Linked DNA regions of Nothobranchius furzeri. The protein of the gene in region 2 purifies or fractionates together with the protein of the main gene of each other region. This does not show direct contact. Links are inferred from orthologs where the notes say so. Each region holds a gene or a part of one and is shown on either strand. Other genes may lie near its edges.

Region 1 (5,353 bases), on a different chromosome or scaffold from region 2:
CAAATTCATGCATCTCAAAGATAACTACAAGCTTCCTTCTGAGTTTATTAAAATGGTTTTATAAATAGATTTCATGCCTACTGCACACAAACACTGTATTCTCTTGAAAAATCACACAAAATAAAATAAGAAATTTTTGGGCCGATACCGATATTAAGATCACTGTTATGGCCGATAACCAGTATTTGCCGATACCGTTATACCGACATTAATGCTTCTAAAATCAGCAGCTTTTGTATAGAATGAAAACGATTAAAGCTGAATTTATGTTACGTACACACATCACACACATTTACACTTATGAGATTATTACAATCACATGACTAAACAATTACACATCACCCCCCTCACCCTCACGATAAACAAATGGAGACAAGATGGGAAATATATCGGTTGTGAATATCGGCCTGGTTTTATTTATCGGACCGATACCGATATGTTAAATGACTAACATCGGCTGATACCGATACATTGTCCATCCCTACTGTGTACACAACAAAAAGCCGTGTTATTCACATATTTCTAGGCTTGATGTGAGATGGCTGTACCGTAAATTATGTGATTGAAATTGTACCTTCCGATTTCCACTGTAACTAATCTGCAGAGCCTAACCCCCAAATTCCACAACCTCTGCTCCGCCCCCGCCTTCCGCAGCCGCTCGCTTCCGAACTCAATTTTTACTGGTACCCGCTCTACAACGGCTCCGCTCCGGTGCGGAGACCTGAGCTGGGCAAACAAGCATGCGCGGGATTTTTGAGATCTTGCGATACAGTCCGAGCAATAAACGCAGAAGTTAGATCCAAACACCCGTTGTGTGGGAGAAGCATCGGCATGAACTGTTTAATCTGCCCATCATTTGTGTTGAGAGATCAGCAGTGTTTGGATCAACAAAGTGTGACTACTTTGATAGTAGAAACTGTATTTATGGCTTACTTTTGTGCATTTAAACTTCAGCCGTCATTGATCGTTGTTAAAAGTTGTTAAACCTGTTCATATGAAACAAGAAACGCCTTTTGTTTATTGATTTATTGTGAAAAACGGAAGTTGTGCTTGCTCCTTTTCCTGTTGGGCCGTTGTGATTTCTGTCCATTGACTGCGGAGGTGCTCCGGCAAAAATAGGATCGATTCTATTTTTGCCGGACGCCGGAACAGAGGGCGGCGCATGGCGCCGCACTGCCGGAGCACGGCCGCAGTAGTGGAATTGCTCTGATTGACTACAACGGGACCGATTTTGCTCCGGCGTTCGTGTCGGAGCGGAGCGGAGGTAGTGGAATTTGGGGGTGAAAGCTTTTGATCTGAACAGTCAACAACCTTTTCAATAAAACTTGCAAAACACAAAAAAACAGTGTGGCATTGTGACACTGACCTGGTGGGCATGAGGTGGTTGTAGTTGAAAACTTTGACAAAGGCCTTGATCTTGGACCTCTTGGCGATCTTCTTCTTGCCCATAGTTGTGGTCACTTTACGGGGATAGCGGTCAATGCCTGCAACCAGAGCGTGACTGTAGGGACGGTCGGCGGTGCCATCGTCAATGTTCTGCCAAGAGATCAATAAATTGTAAAATCAGGTTTGGTACAAATTTAAACATAAATGTTGCCACAAAGACAATGACAGCTGCTGCTAGAAATTTTCAACATTCTGAGCGGGATGACCAGTTATCTGGCTGTAGGATCAATCGGGCTACAGGCAGAGAACTCTGCTGTTGTGTCCTTGTGCAAGACATAGGGCTGGGCAATTAATAGAAAATGTATCTATTACATCTATTGTCCTAATTTTCCATGGCAATAAATTCAATAAAAAAATGGAAAGGTGTGTGGGTTGGGTTTGCACATACATGTAGTTATCGTTCATTTATCGTTATCGAGGTGAACTCCTCAATATACCATGATATTGATTTTAGGCCATATCGCCCAGCCCTAGCTAGACACCTCTCTCACCTTGGCTGCTGGTGGTGGTAAAAGGGACCAGTGCTGCCTGTTTGGCATCTTCGCCTGTCAGTGACCCAGGGCAGCTGTGGCTAAATTATAGATTGGGGGTAGGCAATCCTGATTCTCGAGTGCTGCCATCCAGCATGTTTTAATTACGTCCCCAGTTTCAACACACCGATTTTAATCAGCTGGTAATTAACAGGCTTCTGCAGAGCTCGAGCAGCTGAACAGGTGATTCAACCACTGGATCAGAAGTGTTGCAACTAAAATATGCTGAATAGCATCACTCGAGAACCAAGATTGTCTAATCACCACCAGTGTGTGAATGTATGAACTGCACTGTAGTGCAGGGGTATTCAATTCTGGTCCTCAAGGTCCAGTACCCAGCACGTTTCAGTGGTTTCTCTGATTCAACACATTTGATGCATCTGTGCAGCAGCTCATCAGGCTCTGCAGAAGCCTGTTAATCACCTGCGGACTGAAATCGGGTGTGTTGATGGAGTTAAAACTAAAAATGTGCTGGATATCAGATCTCCAGGCCCCACATTGCATACCCCTGCTGTATTATAAAGCACTTTGGTGTCCTCTTGGACTCTGAAAGGCACTATACCAGTACGATTATTGAACATTTCTTTCCACTAAATGTGACATTTCCATGAAGGTCTTTCAAAAACCCGTCAGTCACGTCTTGACCTGATATCTGTAGTTTCTGTATTGTGTCGAGACTTTTCACAGAGCCATCACAATCCAGCAGTAAATGACTAGTTTTACCTTCACGATTACCGCTTTACGTCCGGCGTAGCGTCCAGCTAGGACCATCACCACCTTTCCAGGCTTCATAAACTTGCCCATTGCTGTAAGAAGAAACACTTTAGGTGTCCGTTTCACTCAACAAAACAGTGCTGACCCACACACACCAAATGCCATCATTAAACATGAGTCTAGGCCTCGTTGGAACTGTATCGTAGTTAGCATTCAGCTACGGAACAGCTAATAAATCAGTTTTACACATTTATTTTGCTCTCACGTTCTCTACGAACTATTTTAACTCAACCTGAAATGTGTCCTAAATTAAACTAACAGATTGTTAATACATTAAAAAAAATACTCCAGCAAGTACGGCAATGAGTTAAACTCAGCGTTTACATTAAGGAAGCTGCCATGTTGGAAAGAGCGGAGGATGAGAAATGTTTCCACTCTAAAGCGCTAATTTTCTTCATAAATCAATGGGAAACGAACATAATAACGAATGTATACTGAAAAGGGGATGACTGCTTTGCATATGTTGAAATACAAACTACAGCACAAGGTAGCTCTGGCACGATGGATGAGGATTACTTGGAAGAAAAATTCACTCACTGATGCTGTTCTACGGCCACCGCTAGCAGGAAAGGAAGTGCTAAAGGATCTAGTCACCTTTGACCCGCTCATATTCCTACGTCACTTCCGGAAGTAGGTTTCAACTGTCGTTATTTATTTCTTTTAATTCAAGAACAATTCATTAAAAAAACAAATGTATTGGTTTACAAAAATGTAAACAAAAAACTGAAATATTGTTTGAATTCCGTTTTTAAAACGGTGTCCAACACTGGCTTTCAAGGGGCCCACTTTTATTTATTGATTTTTTAAAATAATACCACTAGTTGAAATTTTTTATATGTCGGATGGATAAGCCCCTCTTTCAAAACATAAGTTTTTCAGAGCCAGTCCCCTCCTCCTCCGGCCAGACGCTGGAAGCTTTGGAATCGTAGGACGTCCAAGGAAGGTCCCGGCTTTCTCGCCTCTGATTGGCTGGAAGAGCTCTACTACATTTGCTATTTCATGTCACTGCAAACCGTCTTTCCTAGCTGCAGGTTTTTGTCTGCAGCATCGGTCTGCAGCGGTGACTGTGGAAAGAGAGTCTGCAGCCAGATCTTGGGGAATTTGGTGAAGAAGTCCTGTTTTGCAAATATTTTTTTCTGTTTCTCTTATTTAAAAACCCTGAAAAACGTGAAATTTGATAAAATAATAAACCTTGTTACATTTATCACACTGCTTGACATATTATATCTGCTGGGTCTCAAGTATTGAGGTTATAGAACAAGTCAACCCCAAATCAGCTTTTTTTGCTGATAAACTAGGAGTGTCTAATCGTGCTCTATACACATGTAGTCCATAATTTGGCACTTTACTGCATCTTAGTTAAAATTTAAATATTCTGCCTAAAACTGTCAGTGTGGTGCCATCTTCAGGTAAAAACTCTGCACCACATTTGAATTTAAATCTGCCATTGCTGTTGGCCAAGAGGTACACCATGACGTTAGCTGGTACATTATGATGTCACAATGTTGTTCTGAGCTTGTGTGTGTGTGCATTTGTTAGTGGCTCCGCCCTGTCACTCTGCAGGCAACAGCATTTGTTGCTGCAACATAAGGTGGGAGTGGAGTAAGGGTCTTATTTTGCGCAGCTGTGTGCAGTGTGCATTTAACACTACTGCTTAGTCAAAGATGGGTTGAAATATAACGTGTTGGTAGGGCTGGCTAGGTAAGAAAAGTGGAGCTAGGTAAGCTAACCTAGGCAAGTGGAGGCTTCGTTGGTCCACCACGGTCAAAGATCCGTGAGGTCGCACCTGCAGAAGGGAGGTTTGCCGAGTTTTGGTAATGTTTCTCTCCCTTTAGCAGCGTTGGCCTTTTGATCAGAGATCCGCAATCTGCCTTTTAGCTCAGTTTATGTTGGTTCAGAGTCTTTGAGTGTCAATCATTTGCTCTCACCCGCACAGCCCACTCTCAGCTCCACCTCTTTTCCCATTTTTGGATATGTCTGGATGTGACGGCAGGTGTGACATGGCCAAGATGACGGTGGTGGCAACCGTCCATTTGCACTCATTAGCAAATTTAGACAGAAATGGGAGGGCTTTATGTATAATAAAATATACCCAACACCCAATGACTCGAATGTCCCACTTGAACTTTGTCATATAACGATTCGCTGGATAACATTTATGAAGTAATTTGAATGAGAATTCTTGACCTTATTTGTTAGAAAATACTTGTTAGGAATTGTCTGTGTTCTTTTCCAAATAATATTACTGACAAAAGAATTCTGATAAGAAATCAGATACGGATTACATAAGGTTGCTCTTATATTTATAGTTTCTCTAAAGCACGAATATTGTTTTTATGTTCAGCAAGACAAAAATTTCCAACAGGGTTGGGCGACAATCTTCTTCTTTAATTTTGAAGGTAAAGATTCACAACTTCCGGTGATTCCCTGTAACTCCTGCTTGTTCCTCCCTGACGTATGAATCATCTTTCCCAAGATGGCGAAGCACCTGTTTGTTCGGCGATGTCTTTTTTTTGTCTTCGGCGCGCTACTAGACAACTAACCATCTGAAACACGGCGGTAACAAACTGAGGACCAACAGTAAAGGGCTGGAGTAAACTACG
Region 2 (5,041 bases):
CTGAGTCGTGTTGTCAGACATGAGTACCACACGCGTATGTTTGCCACAGAACTCAACTCACGTATCGTTAGCTTTTTGCGTAGTTTAGAGGGGTGAGTCGTACCAGCGTAGATAGATGCCAAATTGGCTACGCAAAATGCGTACAGGTTGGGCAGGTCTGCTTTATGTGATGTGGCTTGAGTATTCAAATACTAATATTACAAACGATAAACTTCTGAAACGGTTCTTGATTTTAGATGCTGAAGAAGAAAATAAGTCTTATTTTCACATAAAACCCTCCTGTCTTTTAACTGAGTCCACGCTCTGAATGATCTGAAACAAGAAAAAAGACCAAATACTAAAAAAAAACCCACAGAAATATTAAAACTCTCCACCATTTAGCATCTGGCTGACAGAGAGGCATGCATGTAGGTGCAGGCTTCAGCCATATGACTGATCTAAACACAACACTACTATGTGTGTTCTTACATAAACACATTAATCAGCGGATGAGTTGAACAGGATCTGTTTCAGTCTGCAGCTAACATCCTGTTTTATGCTTCTCTGTTTACATTATCAGGACCTTCATGGAGGAGTGAATGAGAGCTAGCTTCTATTCCCTCCATTTGAGAGGAACAATCCTCCTTTCCCACCGGGATCATAATGTAAGAAGAGCACCTGGCCTCCTCTTTAGTCTACAGTTTGCCAGCACAGGACGCGATGTCCATGCACCACCGTGTGAGCACAGTTACCTGATGAGCACGGCAGATCAGATCGAGGTCATGCTTGTGCAGAAACTTGGCAACCACCTCTGAGCCGAAGGTGAACGAGACCCCCCTGTCATTCTCGCCCCAGCCCAAAACATCTTTGTCTGGATCGGACCAAAGCAGATCACACAGGAGGCCCTGGTCAGGCACGTCCGTGGGCCGCATGATGCGTCTGATCTGCTCCATCGACTGAAGGTCAGGTGACAGTCCTGAAAGCAACAACACAGCAGTTGTACAAACAAACAAACTGATACAGAGGTCAGACCTACTTCACATGGGTCGCTGCAAACACCAGTCAACATCATTTCACAATGACAAATAAGAACGGCTGACGTCAAAGCCAAGCCTCTTCTGACGAGCTGCTTTCCACTAGGCAACATAAACGTTCTGATTAAACATCAATATTCTGTTAAAGACAAAACACACCTCCATGACAGCAAAATATCTTTTCATCCACAATGGCAGCAATAGGGAGGCAATTAAAACAATCCGTGAAGGTCTTCCAGAGTTTGATGTTGTACCTTCGTTTACCTAAAACAAGACAAATAGTTATGCTTTTATTTTGAAGGCACAACAGCAACAAAAATTCAAGTTTTCACTAACCCCGGCTTTCCACAGGAGCCGTCAGCAGCGCGAGTCGGCCGCGTCTCAGGAGCAGCATGTCGCAGCCTTTACGCGCCAGTTCTATTTTCTACGCGCGACGCCTCTGAAACGGGTCAAGTTCGACATTTTTGGGGAAGGAAAGACAGGAAATCTGACGCGGAAAAGGAGAGAAGCTACAGAGATTTTCAGAATAAAGAACGTACTGCCTTCCGGTTGCTTTACTTTTAAAAAAGGTTACTAACTGTGCGTCCCCATGAGAAGTTATCACCTAGCTAGCGGTCTCCTTTGTTTTCAGGTCCGTATTGGCCATTATAAAACGGACAGAACATAAAACCCAAACCATGTTGTAGTTTTCTCCTGCTTGTTGTTGTGTTTACTGACGAAGTCACTCGTGTGACTTCGTGCTCTGTCGGTGACAGCTGCTCCCCTGCTGCTTCGCGTCTCGTGGGAAGGGCCAAGCAGCAGCTTACGCGAGCAAGACGTGCTGCTGCAGTAACGTGCTGCTGACGGCTCCCGTGGAAACCCGGGGTAAACGTTTAACAACATGAAAGCTGCTGCAAGTTCACACAAGAGACCAAACAGTGACACAATTAAATGGCAAGCTGCTCACACTCATCATAGAAACCGTATATTCTGTTGATTGAAGCACACTCATGGTTTCCCCTCAGCAGGAAGAAGTTCTCTGGGTATTTGATTTTGTAGGCCAGCAGAAGACAGATGGTTTCCAAAGACTGCTTCCCCCTGTCCACATAGTCGCCCAGAAACAGGTAGTTGCTCTCTGGAGGAAAGCCTCCATACTCAAACAGCCTCAGCAGGTCATAGTATTGCCCATGAATGTCACCTGCAAAACAAAACAAACAGCAATAAATAAATAAATAATGCACCTGCAAAAACTGGACAAGCAAGCTTTTAACTTTGGAATCAAATGTTGACATTTATGTAATTGGTAGAATCTAGCTCGAAGAGAAAAACGTTTATTAATAAGCAACAGTAAATAAAAAAATGATGGTTTTTACTAACCACATATTTTGAGAGGGGCCTCCAGCTCCAGAAGAATGGGTTGACTGAGAAAAATCTCCCTGGACTTCAGGCACAATCCACGAATCTCATTCTCCTGCAACTGCACATTCTTCCCAGGCTTTGCTCCTCTGACTGCAGAGAAAACACAAACATCAGTCAGCAAAAAAACAACATAACTATTGCTGCTTTGTCAGCAGTGCCTGATGCAGTATTTGTTTGGAAATGTAGGAAGTAACATACGTATTTGTACGAGATGCATCATCATACTATTATATTCTATCGGGACAAGCGTTACGAAGTTTATTTTGTTGGTTTAAAATATAGTAAACATGTTCATATGTATAATAGTAGATCATCTACTGTAGATGAGAAGGAATAAAAGCCAGCAGCAGCGGCTAAAATCATAGGTCACGCAAAGGCGGACTAGCGCCGGTATGCGCAACTACGTTAATATAGTTTAGTAACTGTTTTTACAAATCTTTCATTGTCATTTGATTATATTGAAAATTTACAATTAAAACACATTAGATGTCAATTCGGGAGTAAAACCAATAATAACGGAAAACATTAGCAAACGGGTTTCATGATATAATGCGCTGCCTGTTTGTAAAGCGTCAAAATTTGTGTAAATGTACAACATTTATGAACATACTTGCCTTCTAAAAGACGTTGAATAATACTGTCTATGTTGAGTTTGTCAACATCAGCCATTGCAGTCGTTTACTAAATGAACTCAGCCAAAGGTAGGTCTTTCAGTTCGGAGAGCTAACCCGCTAGCTATCCTAGCATTAGCTATCGTCTTAGCGATATTGATTTTCCGGTTTAGCGTGAAATATTTCAGATCAACCCAGTATCTGTTTACGTGCTGGCTAATAATTCATAAAATATAATAAGCTACTTAAAAAAATCGCAATATTTGTTCTCAGTAAAATCTAGTGTACGTCTTCATAAAAACCGCGACATAAAAATGTACGTAAGCTGCGCTAGCGCGGAGAGGAGACCAGTCTGTTTTCCTTTTCCGCTGCCGCACCTTGCTAACTAGCTGCTAAGAGCTAGCTGCTGCTAACTAAACCGCTGCTGCCTCCTACTGGTCTGGATGTGAGAACGCCTGAGCATATTATTATAAACACGACAAAGCTGCAGGTGGCACCTGGAGTATATGCACATGTCGATGGGTAGCACACAGACATTCATGTCTACGGAGAAGCAGCAGAAAGTGTCATGGCAGATATTCACATTTACCAGGAATATCAAGACGTCTTATAAGAGCAATCTGTTCAGAAATGTATTTATGTCTGTCTGGGCCTTGTCATAGGGTGAAAAAGAAAAAGAAAAAATATATAATTTATACATAATTTGCACACACACACACACACACACACACACACACACACACACACACACACACACACACACACACACACACACACACACACACACACACACACACACACACACACACACACACACACACACACACACACACACACACACACACACCTATGTAAATTAAGAAAGTTTCTTTTTACATATTATACTGTAGAATTTGATTCGTTATGAAATAGAAAAGCTGCATGATTGACTTATATTTTCTTATCTGAAGGGAACATCAGCTTATTACAAGATAATTATGGAGTAATTAATTAAAATGCACTTTTAAAAAATAGCAGATCAATGGGAAAGATAATATTGCAGCATTATGGAGACAACATTATTATGCAATGTAAAATTGTTTAAAAAGTGATCGGTATGAGGATGGCTCTGTTATTAATGATGAACATATAGATGTTTAACGACCCATGAGGTGCATGAAGCTATTCACAAACTAGCTGATAACAAGGCTTGTGGTCTGGATCACATTAGTGCAGAACATTTGAAATATACTAGCCTAAGGCTAGCTTCCCTTTTAGCTCTTTGTTTTACAGGGTTTATGATTCATGGCATACTACCAGACTCAATGATGGCAATTCTGCTTGTCCCAGTTATTAAGAACAAATCTGGGAAGGTGACCAGTATAGATAATTATAGGCCGATTGCACTAGCCAGTGTTTTATCTAGAAATAATCATATTTGATAGAATCACTGTGTACCTTAATTCCTTGGATAATCAGTTTGGCTTTAAGCCAAAACTTGGTACTGACATGTGTATATACGCACTTAAAGAAATGGTGAACCGGTATAGAAATAGAACTTCTTCTGTCCTTATGTGTTTTATTGATGCTTCTAAGGCTTTTGATCGTGTAAACCACAGAAAACCTTTTATTAAGTTAAAGCTACGGGGGGTCCCTGGGGTTATTGTGAGAATCCTGTCTTACTGGTATGCTCATCAGATGATGCAGGTTAAATGGGGTGGCAGCATCTCTGCACCATTTGGTGTTAGTAATGGTGTTAGGCAGGGTGGAATTCTGTCTATCTTATTTAATTTGTATGCTGATGACCTGGTGGTCTTCAGTCCAAGTAGTGCTGGTTTACAGCAGCTCCTGAATATCTGTTCTGAATATGGTGTGCAGTACGATATCCAGTATAATGCTGTTAAAAGTGCTATCTTGATATGTAGAACCAAGCAAGATAAAAAGCTAAACTTTCCTGTGTTCAAACTGTCTAATAGTGATCTTAATGTGTGTGAGAAGGTGAAATACCTTGGCTACTTTATAACTGATCAAATGCGTGGT
Region 3 (5,190 bases), on a different chromosome or scaffold from region 2:
ACTGAGACCTGGATCAAACCTGGTGACGATGAACCCAGCTGCACTCTCAATCAACCACACTTCTCATGCATCTGGCCGAGGTGGTGGAACAGGCATGTTAAGTTCCAACAAATGGAAATACAGTCAGTTGCTACCCATAACTAAGTACATCTCCTTTGAATACCATGCCATCTGGGTAACTGCACCGAAAATTATTCTTTATGGTTGTTATATATCGACAACCAGGACAACACGGAGACTTTCTAGATGAACTTGACACCCTGCTCTCCTCCATTCCTGAGCATGACTGTCCCACAATGGTCCTTGGAGACATGAATATTCATCTGGACAACCCCATTTCATCAGGTTTCCTGTCCTTAATGTTATCATTTGATCTAAAAACGGTACAAAGTTCATTCTCTGCCAGCATCACTAATGCAAAGAAAGCTTTCTACACTGACAAAATTCTCAGCACTTCTGACACTCAGAAACCAACTCCCTTCCTCCAAATCGTGTGGAGAACTACCGACCTATCTCTCTCCTCCCGTTCCTGTCTAAAATCATCGAAAAGGCGGCCTTCAAGCAGGTTGCAGAGCACCTCTCACAAAACTATCTGCTTGACCCATACAAATCTGGGTTCAAAAATGGCCACTCCACTGAAGCCTTAAAATAAGCTAGAGCGACTGCCCAAATCCTCAGTGCTTATCCTGCTTGACTTATCTGAATTTGACACAGTCAACCGTGGCTTCTTTTTGTCCATACTCTCTAGCATGGGCATCACAGGGAAAGCACACTCCTGGTTTGAATCTTACCTGACTCGGACAATCTTCTGCTGTTTACCATCTTGCCACAGGAGTCCCCCAGGGCTCTTTACTAGGACCTCTTCTCTTTGCCACATACACCACCACATTGGGTGAGATCATTCGATCGCATGGCCTCTCCTACCACTGCTATGCTGACGACACCCAGCTCTATCTGTCATTCTCGTCCGGACGACCTCACAGTCTCTGTACAAATCTTGGACTGTCTTTCTGATATATCAAGATGGATGAAATCTCACCATCCCCAACTCAACCTCTCAAAAACTGAATTACTTGACATCCCAGCAAACCCATCCATACGACACAATATCTCAATGCAAAACGAGCCCCTATCTCTGGCTCCTTCACACACAATTTGAAATTTGGGTGTTGTGATTTATGACCAGCTGACCTTTAACTCATTACCTTCCGGTCGTTTCCTGATCAGTAAAGCCCTTCGCTGCCAGAGGTTTTCAGCGTTTTCACAGTTTTTTGAAAAGTCACCGAACGTTGCACTCTATGATGATGTCAACGCCCAAACTACCAAAACAAAGAGTAGACTCACCTCTTACATCTGGAATAATCTGCGTGTTTAGAGTGTTATCCATTTTTTCATAATCCGTTGTCGAATTGTGATCGGCAGAAGCTTTTCTGGATCGTGCCTCACTTTTTTTTTTACAGCAGCAGCCCAAAACGATCTCCTAACACATGGATTTTTTGCTTCCTGATCATGTGACGTGTGATGTACATGGATAAAGATCAGCTTTAGAGCTGGGATGTTTGTTCTCACGGTACGGGAGCTCGTTCCGACACCCACACAGTAAAAAAAAAAATACAAATGATGACTTTAGTCATCAATGGCAGGAAATGAGTTAAAGATCAAGTTGCCTCTGTCACTCGTTCATGCCGCTTCATGCTGTATAACATATAAAAGATCAGACCATATCTAACAAAATATGCCACCCAGCTCCTGGTTCAATCTACAGTCATCTCCAACCTCAACTACTGCAATGCCCTTCTAACTGGTCTTCCTGCCTGTACTGCGAGATCTCTTTGACCTTGTCCATTTTCAAGAAACTCCTGAAGACCCAGCTCGTCAGAGAGCATCTTCTAAGCTAGCACCCTCCCTGCACCCGTCCCCCACTCTACTGTCCACTCCTTATTCACTTCCCTTTACGATTCATTATGCTGCCTCACTGCCACCTAGGATTGACTGATTAGTGTTTGTTGTAAGCCTCAAGGGCAACCTGCTGGCTTCATTATTACTTGTAGGTCTTTTGGACAAAAGCGTCTGCTAAATACATGAACATAAACATACCTGTTTTGCTGAAGGCGTCATGCCCATCTGAACAACGATGATGGCTCGAGTGATATTCTCCTCCTGCATTCTCTGACAGTACATTTTAATGGTCTTGATCCCCACCTTGGGTTCCTCTGGTGGGACAAAAATGGACAAAAAAAAGATGAATTCATAACAATTTTCTTCAAATCAAACACGCTTCTCTGTTCCAAATGTAATCACCCAGTTACTTCTAGAAAAGACTGATGCACTGAGCAAAAGTCACAAAAGTCACCTGGTCTCCATTTCTGTTCAATCTCCCAGTTAAAATAAACATACCGGGAAAGAAAACAAACATCTGGTCAGTGGGATCATCATTGTGTGCCACCAGCACCGTGAGATCTGTTCGTCTGGGACGACCTTCGCTCGGTTTGTCTCCAAACTGACTCTTGAACTCCTCCAGAGTCTGGTCCAACTCGTCCTGGGTCACAAGGTAACCTCGATCATGGCACAGCTGAAGGAGGAAAACATCAGAGAAGGTATCAGAAAACTCATTTAATAAACATTAAAATTAAATAATTCGTCTGTTATTTTGTCGAACTTAAACACACTTATTTAAATTTTACAGAAACAATTGTTGCAGTCAGGTTAGAGCCGCTAGTCTTGCTTCGTACTTTGGTAAACTGCTTAAAATACCAGTGGAACAAGTGTTGAACAAGCTAGTGTTTAGCCAGGCTGTCATAATGTTAAAATAAGGAGTACACAAGTCAAATTTAACGGAACTTCAGTGATAAAAAATACATTCATTCATGTTGAGCTAACGAGCTAAAAGAGGCTAACAAGCTAAATAAAGAAAACATTCAAACCTAACGAACCTGCATGATGGTTTTGCGGATCTTCCAAAGTCTATATGTTTCCTCTTCATCATCCATGTCCTGCTAAATAAGCTGTGTGCACTAGATTTGGTCAGAAAATGATTTTTTTTTTGTTATCAATATCGCTCTTTAAGCGAACGCACGTTTCCCGATTGACTGACACAGGCTGATGACGTCAGAAAAGCTGACCTGAAGGGGTTTGCTCCTTCTCTGCTTTGCCGGTGTTCATGTGCTTTTTTATCTGACTAAAGACCAGGAATGGGGTTTTTCGCTTGGTTCAGAGACCTTCTAAAGTTATTGCGCCTCTAGCATTTGTTAACGACAGTGCCATCTTACAACGAGGCTTTTCCAGCAAATTAACTTCAAAGACGTCATCATAAACCAGCAATCACCGCCGCTGTTCTGTTAGTTAAATAAAGATTTTCGCCACTAGAGGGCAGATTTGTGTCCCCTGTTGGATAATTTTAATTACATCATGTCCCCATTATTTATCAGTATGGAAAGCATGCTGGAGTCAGACCATTTGTTCGTTCTTACACAATCAGACTAGATGCATCATTGTGGATCAGTACACGGAAATGTGTCAAGACTGTGTGCGCCACGAATCGTATCCTAAATGAACAAGGTGTGAAAAGTGGGTGTTGCTGTATTTAGTCTGATTGTGTAAGACCGAACACCCCAGCAATCTTTCTGTGCAGATAAATAATGGGGGCATGATCTAATCCATGTCCCAGATAAAGTAAATAATTTATCCAACACCCTCCTCCTTCGATTTGAACGTTAAAGCCATCAAATGGTGAAACTCTGTACGACCTCTAATTGATTGTATTAGATAGAGGGTGTTTGTTTCAGTGCGAGTGACGTGCTGTACATGCTGCTTCGTGAGTAAACTCCCCCTCTCGCACAGCGCGCCGTGACATGCGCCAGAGACTTAATGGTGCAGACTCCATGATTTCCGACAACAATGCTCAATACAACAACAACGACAACAGTGATGATGATGATGATGATGATGATGATAATAATAATAATAATAATAATAATAATAATAATAATAATAATAATAATTTTACCCTTGGCCCACCTAGTAGCCTACAACGGGGCGGAGTCACGTGCAGCTACAACGAACAACCGAACAACGCATGGATTTTCGACAGAAGTGACCTTTTCTATAACTAAATGAGGCCGTTATATGTTGTTTTGGGCTTGGGGGCTGTGGCGAGCAGCGGGACACTACTGGCCGTGATTTTGTATTTTGTTTTATCCACGGCAGCGGTAAAGTAAACCTCCGTGATACTTGGCTTGTTTTATAATGAGATTTAGAAGTTGTGTAACTGAATATGGCTGCTGTGACATCTGTGGTGCCCTTGCGGGCACGATTGCAGACAGTATTTACACAGGCAACGCACTTCAGGTTGTGTAAATGTTGAAAGTCACGATAGGACACCAGCATTCCTCTGCATCATCCCCACCCCCCTGTTGCGACAAGCTGATAAGCCTATCATCATCATAGTATTAATACCTTCATGGTATAAACACTTTTCTGTTAGTTTTAGATTTATTTTTGTTCTGTGTCTAATTTGTGACCATCTTTGTAAATCAGAACTGTATTAGTAAATGATGTCATCACCTTCTCTAATTGCACATTTTCTGATTTGCTCAGCGTTTCTTCCTTCCTGCACTTTAACCTCATAAGCACACAATGCTGTTTATTCTAACAGCTTGAAACACTCATTCGTTTGTCGTCAGGGATTTATATGATTTGTTTGTTGGCCCTGACCGCGCTTGTGTAACAGACTGTTTTATATGAATAATCACATTATGCGTTTGATTGGACTTTTACCTTTCGCCCGAGTCACATGCACCTCATCTTTCTGTGAGTTTTATGACATAGCTATGAACTTTGGCCTGCAGCACGCGTGCTTTTGATCAGGGTTTGTTTTGTTAGGACCTAAGAGAGGAACCTATTGGAGAAATCCAGCTTATCATTTCTGGTCATTTCGACCCGCCCCTTGTACATTAAGGCTCTGTCAGATGTGAGGTTCAGCAGTGAGGGGGTTGCTCTGACAGATTAGATTGTTCTGTAACAGAGAAGCTGAGAGAGGGGCAGCCATGCGCCTGTTAGGGTGCACAGTGTTTCTCTCTGTCCTGCTGCAGGCTATGGTAAGGGACTGACATTTTGATTTATTCGTTGTATTTATTCTATAATGCATTTTTGTTCATTTGCACCAAGATATATTTTTAATCAGGAAGGTTT
Region 4 (5,029 bases), on a different chromosome or scaffold from region 2:
GTAATTTAACTAGACTGAGAGACCATTTAAAGGCTCAGGAACCTTTACAGGTGTTTCTATTTGCAATTTTAAATTTTGACTGATTGGGGTCTTGTTAAATATCACACAGTGACCTTTTAATAGTCTAGATAAGTGTAATGTTCCTGTTAGTAGTTCCTCCTGTTAAGTGCTTATTTATTTAAATTATTCAGGTTTATAAAAGAAAGCATTTGGACATACACTTTATTATGTTCCAGGCATTAGTCATTTATATTTCACTATTGTAGTCATTTATAGTAAATAAAGTAAGTTTAATTAAGAGGGGAACCCATTTTTCTTGTATTCTTTAACGAAAAAAGTAACCAAGTAGTTATTTTTCTTGGTAATTAGTTACTTTTATAATCTCGTAACTTGGTAAGTAACTGAGTTACTTTTTGACAAAGTAATTAGTAACTACAACTAATTACTTTTTAAAAGTAACGTTCCCAACACTGCCAACGACTAACCCAAATGAAGCAGAAGAGTTACTAAACGTGACTCAACTCGCTGTCAACAGCCAAGTATAAATAAAAAACACAACTTCTAAATAATCAAATTCTCATTCAGCCTTAAAATAATCCATACCCAGAACTCCTGCAGGTCTGTCAGGTGGCTGATGTTCTCGATTTTCTTCACTCGATTGGCAGCAATGTCCAGTGTGGTGAGTTTTTTCTGTAAAAAAAAAAAAATGTAAAAGATTTTTTGAAAGTCCAGAACAAACACTGTTGTTTGTGCAGCTGAATGGTTTCTATGACTCACGTTGTTTTCCAGGCCCTCTATGACCTCAATCCCATTGTGGCTCAGATAGAGCTCTTTCAGGTTGACAAGGTTCTGCAGACCCTCAATCTTAGTAATCCGATTACTCTGCAAATAACAAAAACATATCAACCACTTTCTTAAAATACACACCTGAGTCCTGTTAGAAGGGGATTTGTCAAGGGATACCTGAATGCTTAAAACAGACAGGTTGTGTAAACTGTCCAAGTTTTGAAGCTTTGTTATTTTATTGGTGCCAAGAAACAAACTTTGCAAAGATGAAAGTCCATCCAGGTTCTCAATGACCTGCAAATACAAATGAAAGACACAAATGGACTGCCTAAAAGTAAAATCACAGTTATTTTATAAAATTTTCTGTGTTATTTACTCCAACTGTGAGAGTTTAGCCCCAAAATCTATACAGAGACCCATTTAGGCTCACCCTGATGCGATTAGAGCCCAGCTCTAGCATCTCAAGACTTGAGAGGTGGTCCACATTAGAGATGGTGCCAATTTTGTTGTGAAGCAGAAACAGTTTCTTCAGCTGAGTCAGCTCCTCCAAATTCTCCACCTTCCTCAAAACGTTAAAGGAAACATCGAGCAGCCTGCAGGTTCATTGTAACAAAACAAAGTAAACTTCCCCCATTCCTCTTAATTCCGTAAAGAAGCTGGTGCTTTTTGGTCAAAAACGATATTTTCCCAGACTTACTCTAACTCTCTGAGGTTGCTCAGGTTCTCTAGCTTGCGGATTTGATTGTCATAGAGATCTAGCTCCCGCAGGGAGCTCAAACTCTGAAGGTTTTCTATGGTTTTGATGAGGTTTTGTCGTAAGGAGAGCGTCTAGATGTACAGAGCAAAGCAATAAATAAATACAGTCTGTGGTTATTATGCAGGACAGTTTTAGATTGTTAAAAGCATCCGTCTGGTTTAAATGTCACACAAACATTGATAAATAACCCACCTTAGCCTTCTGCAGCACCTCAAGTCCTTCAATTTTTCCAATACGACAGTGAACAAGATCAACATCCTAGAAGGAACGTGGAGAATTAACGATAATGAATGTAAGACATATTAATATATTTTTATTAAGTAATATACTTCAATAATTGTGTTCGTTTTGCATTTGGGATGAAAATAGTTTTATTTAGAAGGCAGTCTAACCTCTTCTTCTGGGTCCAAGGTAATGGTGTCCATGTCAACAGGTGATTCTTCTTTACCTCAAGTGAGAAAGAATAAACAAGCTTGGCATTCCTTTGCACATTAACCAGTCTGACTGATGAAGCATGTTTAATGCCGGAGAACTGTGGAGGGCTTACTTGCAGCAGTAGGCTGATTGGGGTCCACATCACCATTGATACCCTTCCTCCTGGTCTCATCATCACCAGACTCCTCAGACTCACCTCTTCGGTCTACTGCAGTCAACAAAGAGAAGCTTTATTGTAAAACGTTGTCACAAAGTTTGCGGATTGACCAGACCAGTACTTGTTCCCTGTTGTTTTTAAGACCTAACACATAACTTATCCTTCCACTGATCATACGCAGGCAAACTTTGTGTTAAAAGATGAAAGTTAAGATAAAATGCTAAAAAAAAATAGAGCAAATTATCTTTTTGACAAGCTGCAAGCAAAAACAGTGTCTGAAGTGTCTTTCCTCCCTTTTTTCTCGATGTGTCAACACTGGTTCATCCTTTGAGCTTTGAAGTATTTTTGTTCCTGAATGATTCATAGATCCGAAATAAGCAGCTTAAACAAAAACATTTCAAAAACTCGCTCTAAAATAGACTGGGTGTAGACTGGTAATAAGTAAAAAAGCAGTCCAATGTCTAGAGAGAGTCTTTAAAAAGATCCTTAGGAATATTGAATGAAAGCACTAGGTGGGGTGTCATATCTCAGTCTCAGAGGAGTATGTAAGTATGCTACTTTTGCCAATAAATGTTGATCGTATATCATGTTTAGGAGCTGTTTTTCTACACTTAGCAATGTCCAGCGAAAGTGGAATCAACAAGAGAATAGGCACGACACTAAAACCAGACTTACTGATTACTAAATAAACCGTTTCAGCAACATTCCGAGTCTTACCAGTTTGAAATGTGAGGTTTGACACTTTAAATAGACACTTTACGCAATGCTAAACGAGCAAGGTAGCTCGGCAGCTGAATGCAAGGAAGCTCAAAAGTAAAGCAAATACATTTAAACCAGTTAAATGCACAGCATGCAATCGACTTAAGACCTTAACTTCTGCGTTCAGCACTGCATCTATATCATGCCGAGTAAAACTCGTTAAAAAGTACAGAGTGACTAGATGCTACGTTGATAACGCCAACTAGCTAACGTCTTGTTGATAGCCTGTTAGCTGACAAACCCAGGATGAATGACTGGTCAGTAACAGAAACAACGAGTCACCGAGAGCGATTTTATTCAAATTTATATAATATCTTCAGATGGTTGCATCTTCCTCAGTCTGATAAAGTCATATCAGGATGGCTTGTTTGAGTGATTTTGTACTCACCTTCCATTTCTTGTGGCTCTCCAACAACCAGGGAAGCCATGTTTCTTGTAAACACTCCTGGCAACCGCTCGGCCAATCAGGTGGAAGTGCAGACGGCACTCATACACTAGATGGCGCTGTTGCTCCACACTGAAAAATAACACAGACAATATTATTTATTTATTTTTAATTTAGTTAGTTAGTTAGTTAGTTAGTTAGTTAGTTAGTTAGTTAGTTAGTTAGTTAGTTATTCAAATGTATTGCAATGCTTACTATGTGAAGTGCCTTGAGACGACTCTTGCCCTGATTTGGCGCTCTATAAATAAACTTGAATTGAATTGAAATAGCCCAATGTGTTATGATTTAAAATATCTGTGAGATACTGGGACTAAATGTACACTACCAAGAAGATCACAAGAACATCAAAGAATTCATGGATTTAACCATTTTGCATAAATGTTTGCATCCTCAAACATATTTTAGTTTAACTAAATGTCTGATCATTTGAATGAAACGTGCTGACTTAAATAATTTTATTGTCTGTTTTAGCAAAACTAATATACATTCTAACATATGGTTTACAGCTTATAAAAACCCTAAAATAAAAATCTCAGACAGTTAAAATATTGTTTAAAGGTTTAATAGGCTCAAAGTGTGACATTCAGCCAATTGATCCAAAACACATGCAAATGGTTCCAAAGGCTTTAAATGGTCACTCAGTTGGAGTGAAATACTGAAATAAATGGACTTTTGCACTATATTCATAATAAATATAATGTGGGGGCTGTTGCTTTGCAGCAAGAAGGTCCTGGGTTGATATCCTGGCCTGTGGTCTCTCTGCAAGGAGCCTGCATGGTCTCCTTGTGCACGTGTGGGCTCTCCTCAGGTACCCCAGTTTCCCACCACATTACAAAAACACGACTATCAGGTTAATTGGTCTGTCTAAAATTGTCCTAAGGTGTGTGTGCTTCATTGTCTGTCCTGTATGTCTTTGTGTTTCCCTGCGATGGACTGGCAACCTGTCCAGGGTGTACCCTGCCTGCCTACCTGCCCACCGACTGCCGGAGGCTGGCTCCAGCCCCCTTAAAACCCTGCATGGACCAGTGGGCTCAGATAATGGATGGATGGATATATAATGTGGCAGGTTCTACACTCACTGGCCACTTTATTTACATCTGTCAAACTGCTCGTTAACACAAATTACTAATCAGCCATTCACATGGGGGCAACTCAGTGCATTTAGGCATGTTGACATGTTTAAGATGATGTGCTGCAGTTCAAACCAAGCTTCCGAATGGGGAAGAAAGGAGATTTCATTGATTTGGAGCGTGGCATGATTGTTGGTGCCAGCTGGGCTGGTCTGAGTATTTCAGGAACTGCTGATCTTCTGGGATTGTCACACACAAACATCTTTAGGGTTTACAGAGAATGGTCCAAAACAGGAAAAACATCCAGTGAGCGACAGTTCTGTGGGTGAAAATAAATTGTTGATGTCAGAGGTCAGAGGAGAAAGGCCAGACTAGTTTAAGCTGATAGAACAACAACATTAACTCAAATGACCACTCGTTACAACCAAGGTATGCAGAGCATCTCTGAACGCACAACACGTTGAACCTTGAGGCAGATGGGCTACAACAGCAGATTTCCACACCAGGTGCCACTCCTGTCAGCTAAGAACAGGAATCTGAGGCTATAATTCACTCAGGTTCACCAAAACTAAACAATAAAAGATTGGAAAAATGTTTCCTGGTTTGATGAGTCTTGATTT

The links. Proteins that work in one complex are often made in the same cells at the same time.
Region 1: the proteins of ppp1cc (region 2) and rpl27 purify together in Homo sapiens (affinity purification with mass spectrometry; 3 studies listed by BioGRID and IntAct, with this or other methods). This does not show direct contact. The link is inferred for Nothobranchius furzeri from reciprocal best matches to the Homo sapiens genes PPP1CC and RPL27.
Region 3: the proteins of ppp1cc (region 2) and polr2eb purify together in Homo sapiens (affinity purification with mass spectrometry; 4 studies listed by BioGRID and IntAct, with this or other methods). This does not show direct contact. The link is inferred for Nothobranchius furzeri from reciprocal best matches to the Homo sapiens genes PPP1CC and POLR2E.
Region 4: the proteins of ppp1cc (region 2) and ppp1r7 purify together in Homo sapiens (affinity purification with mass spectrometry; 8 studies listed by BioGRID and IntAct, counting the BioPlex papers as one, with this or other methods). This does not show direct contact. The link is inferred for Nothobranchius furzeri from reciprocal best matches to the Homo sapiens genes PPP1CC and PPP1R7.

The regions. Positions count from the first base shown.
Region 1 is NC_091745.1:6,315,860-6,321,212, forward strand, and holds the start of rpl27 (large ribosomal subunit protein eL27), read right to left. Parts: upstream 3,394-5,353; 5' UTR 3,288-3,393; intron 2,783-3,287; 5' UTR 2,781-2,782; coding exon 2,700-2,780; intron 1,537-2,699; coding exon 1,367-1,536; intron 1-1,366.
Region 2 is NC_091757.1:28,391,659-28,396,699, forward strand, and holds the start of ppp1cc (serine/threonine-protein phosphatase PP1-gamma catalytic subunit A), read right to left. Parts: upstream 3,390-5,041; 5' UTR 3,081-3,389; coding exon 3,026-3,080; intron 2,502-3,025; coding exon 2,370-2,501; intron 2,191-2,369; coding exon 1,960-2,190; intron 1,278-1,959; coding exon 1,173-1,277; intron 956-1,172; coding exon 732-955; intron 1-731. UniProt on the Homo sapiens protein: Protein phosphatase that associates with over 200 regulatory proteins to form highly specific holoenzymes which dephosphorylate hundreds of biological targets.
Region 3 is NC_091748.1:48,493,699-48,498,888, reverse strand, and holds the start of polr2eb (DNA-directed RNA polymerases I, II, and III subunit RPABC1), read right to left. Parts: upstream 3,394-5,190; 5' UTR 2,991-3,393; coding exon 2,934-2,990; intron 2,573-2,933; coding exon 2,398-2,572; intron 2,214-2,397; coding exon 2,098-2,213; intron 1-2,097. UniProt on the Homo sapiens protein: DNA-dependent RNA polymerase catalyzes the transcription of DNA into RNA using the four ribonucleoside triphosphates as substrates.
Region 4 is NC_091751.1:53,578,613-53,583,641, forward strand, and holds the start of ppp1r7 (protein phosphatase 1 regulatory subunit 7), read right to left. Parts: upstream 3,394-5,029; 5' UTR 3,323-3,393; coding exon 3,283-3,322; intron 2,187-3,282; coding exon 2,091-2,186; intron 1,992-2,090; coding exon 1,936-1,991; intron 1,802-1,935; coding exon 1,736-1,801; intron 1,615-1,735; coding exon 1,484-1,614; intron 1,380-1,483; coding exon 1,217-1,379; intron 1,081-1,216; coding exon 964-1,080; intron 883-963; coding exon 778-882; intron 691-777; coding exon 604-690; intron 1-603. UniProt on the Homo sapiens protein: Regulatory subunit of protein phosphatase 1.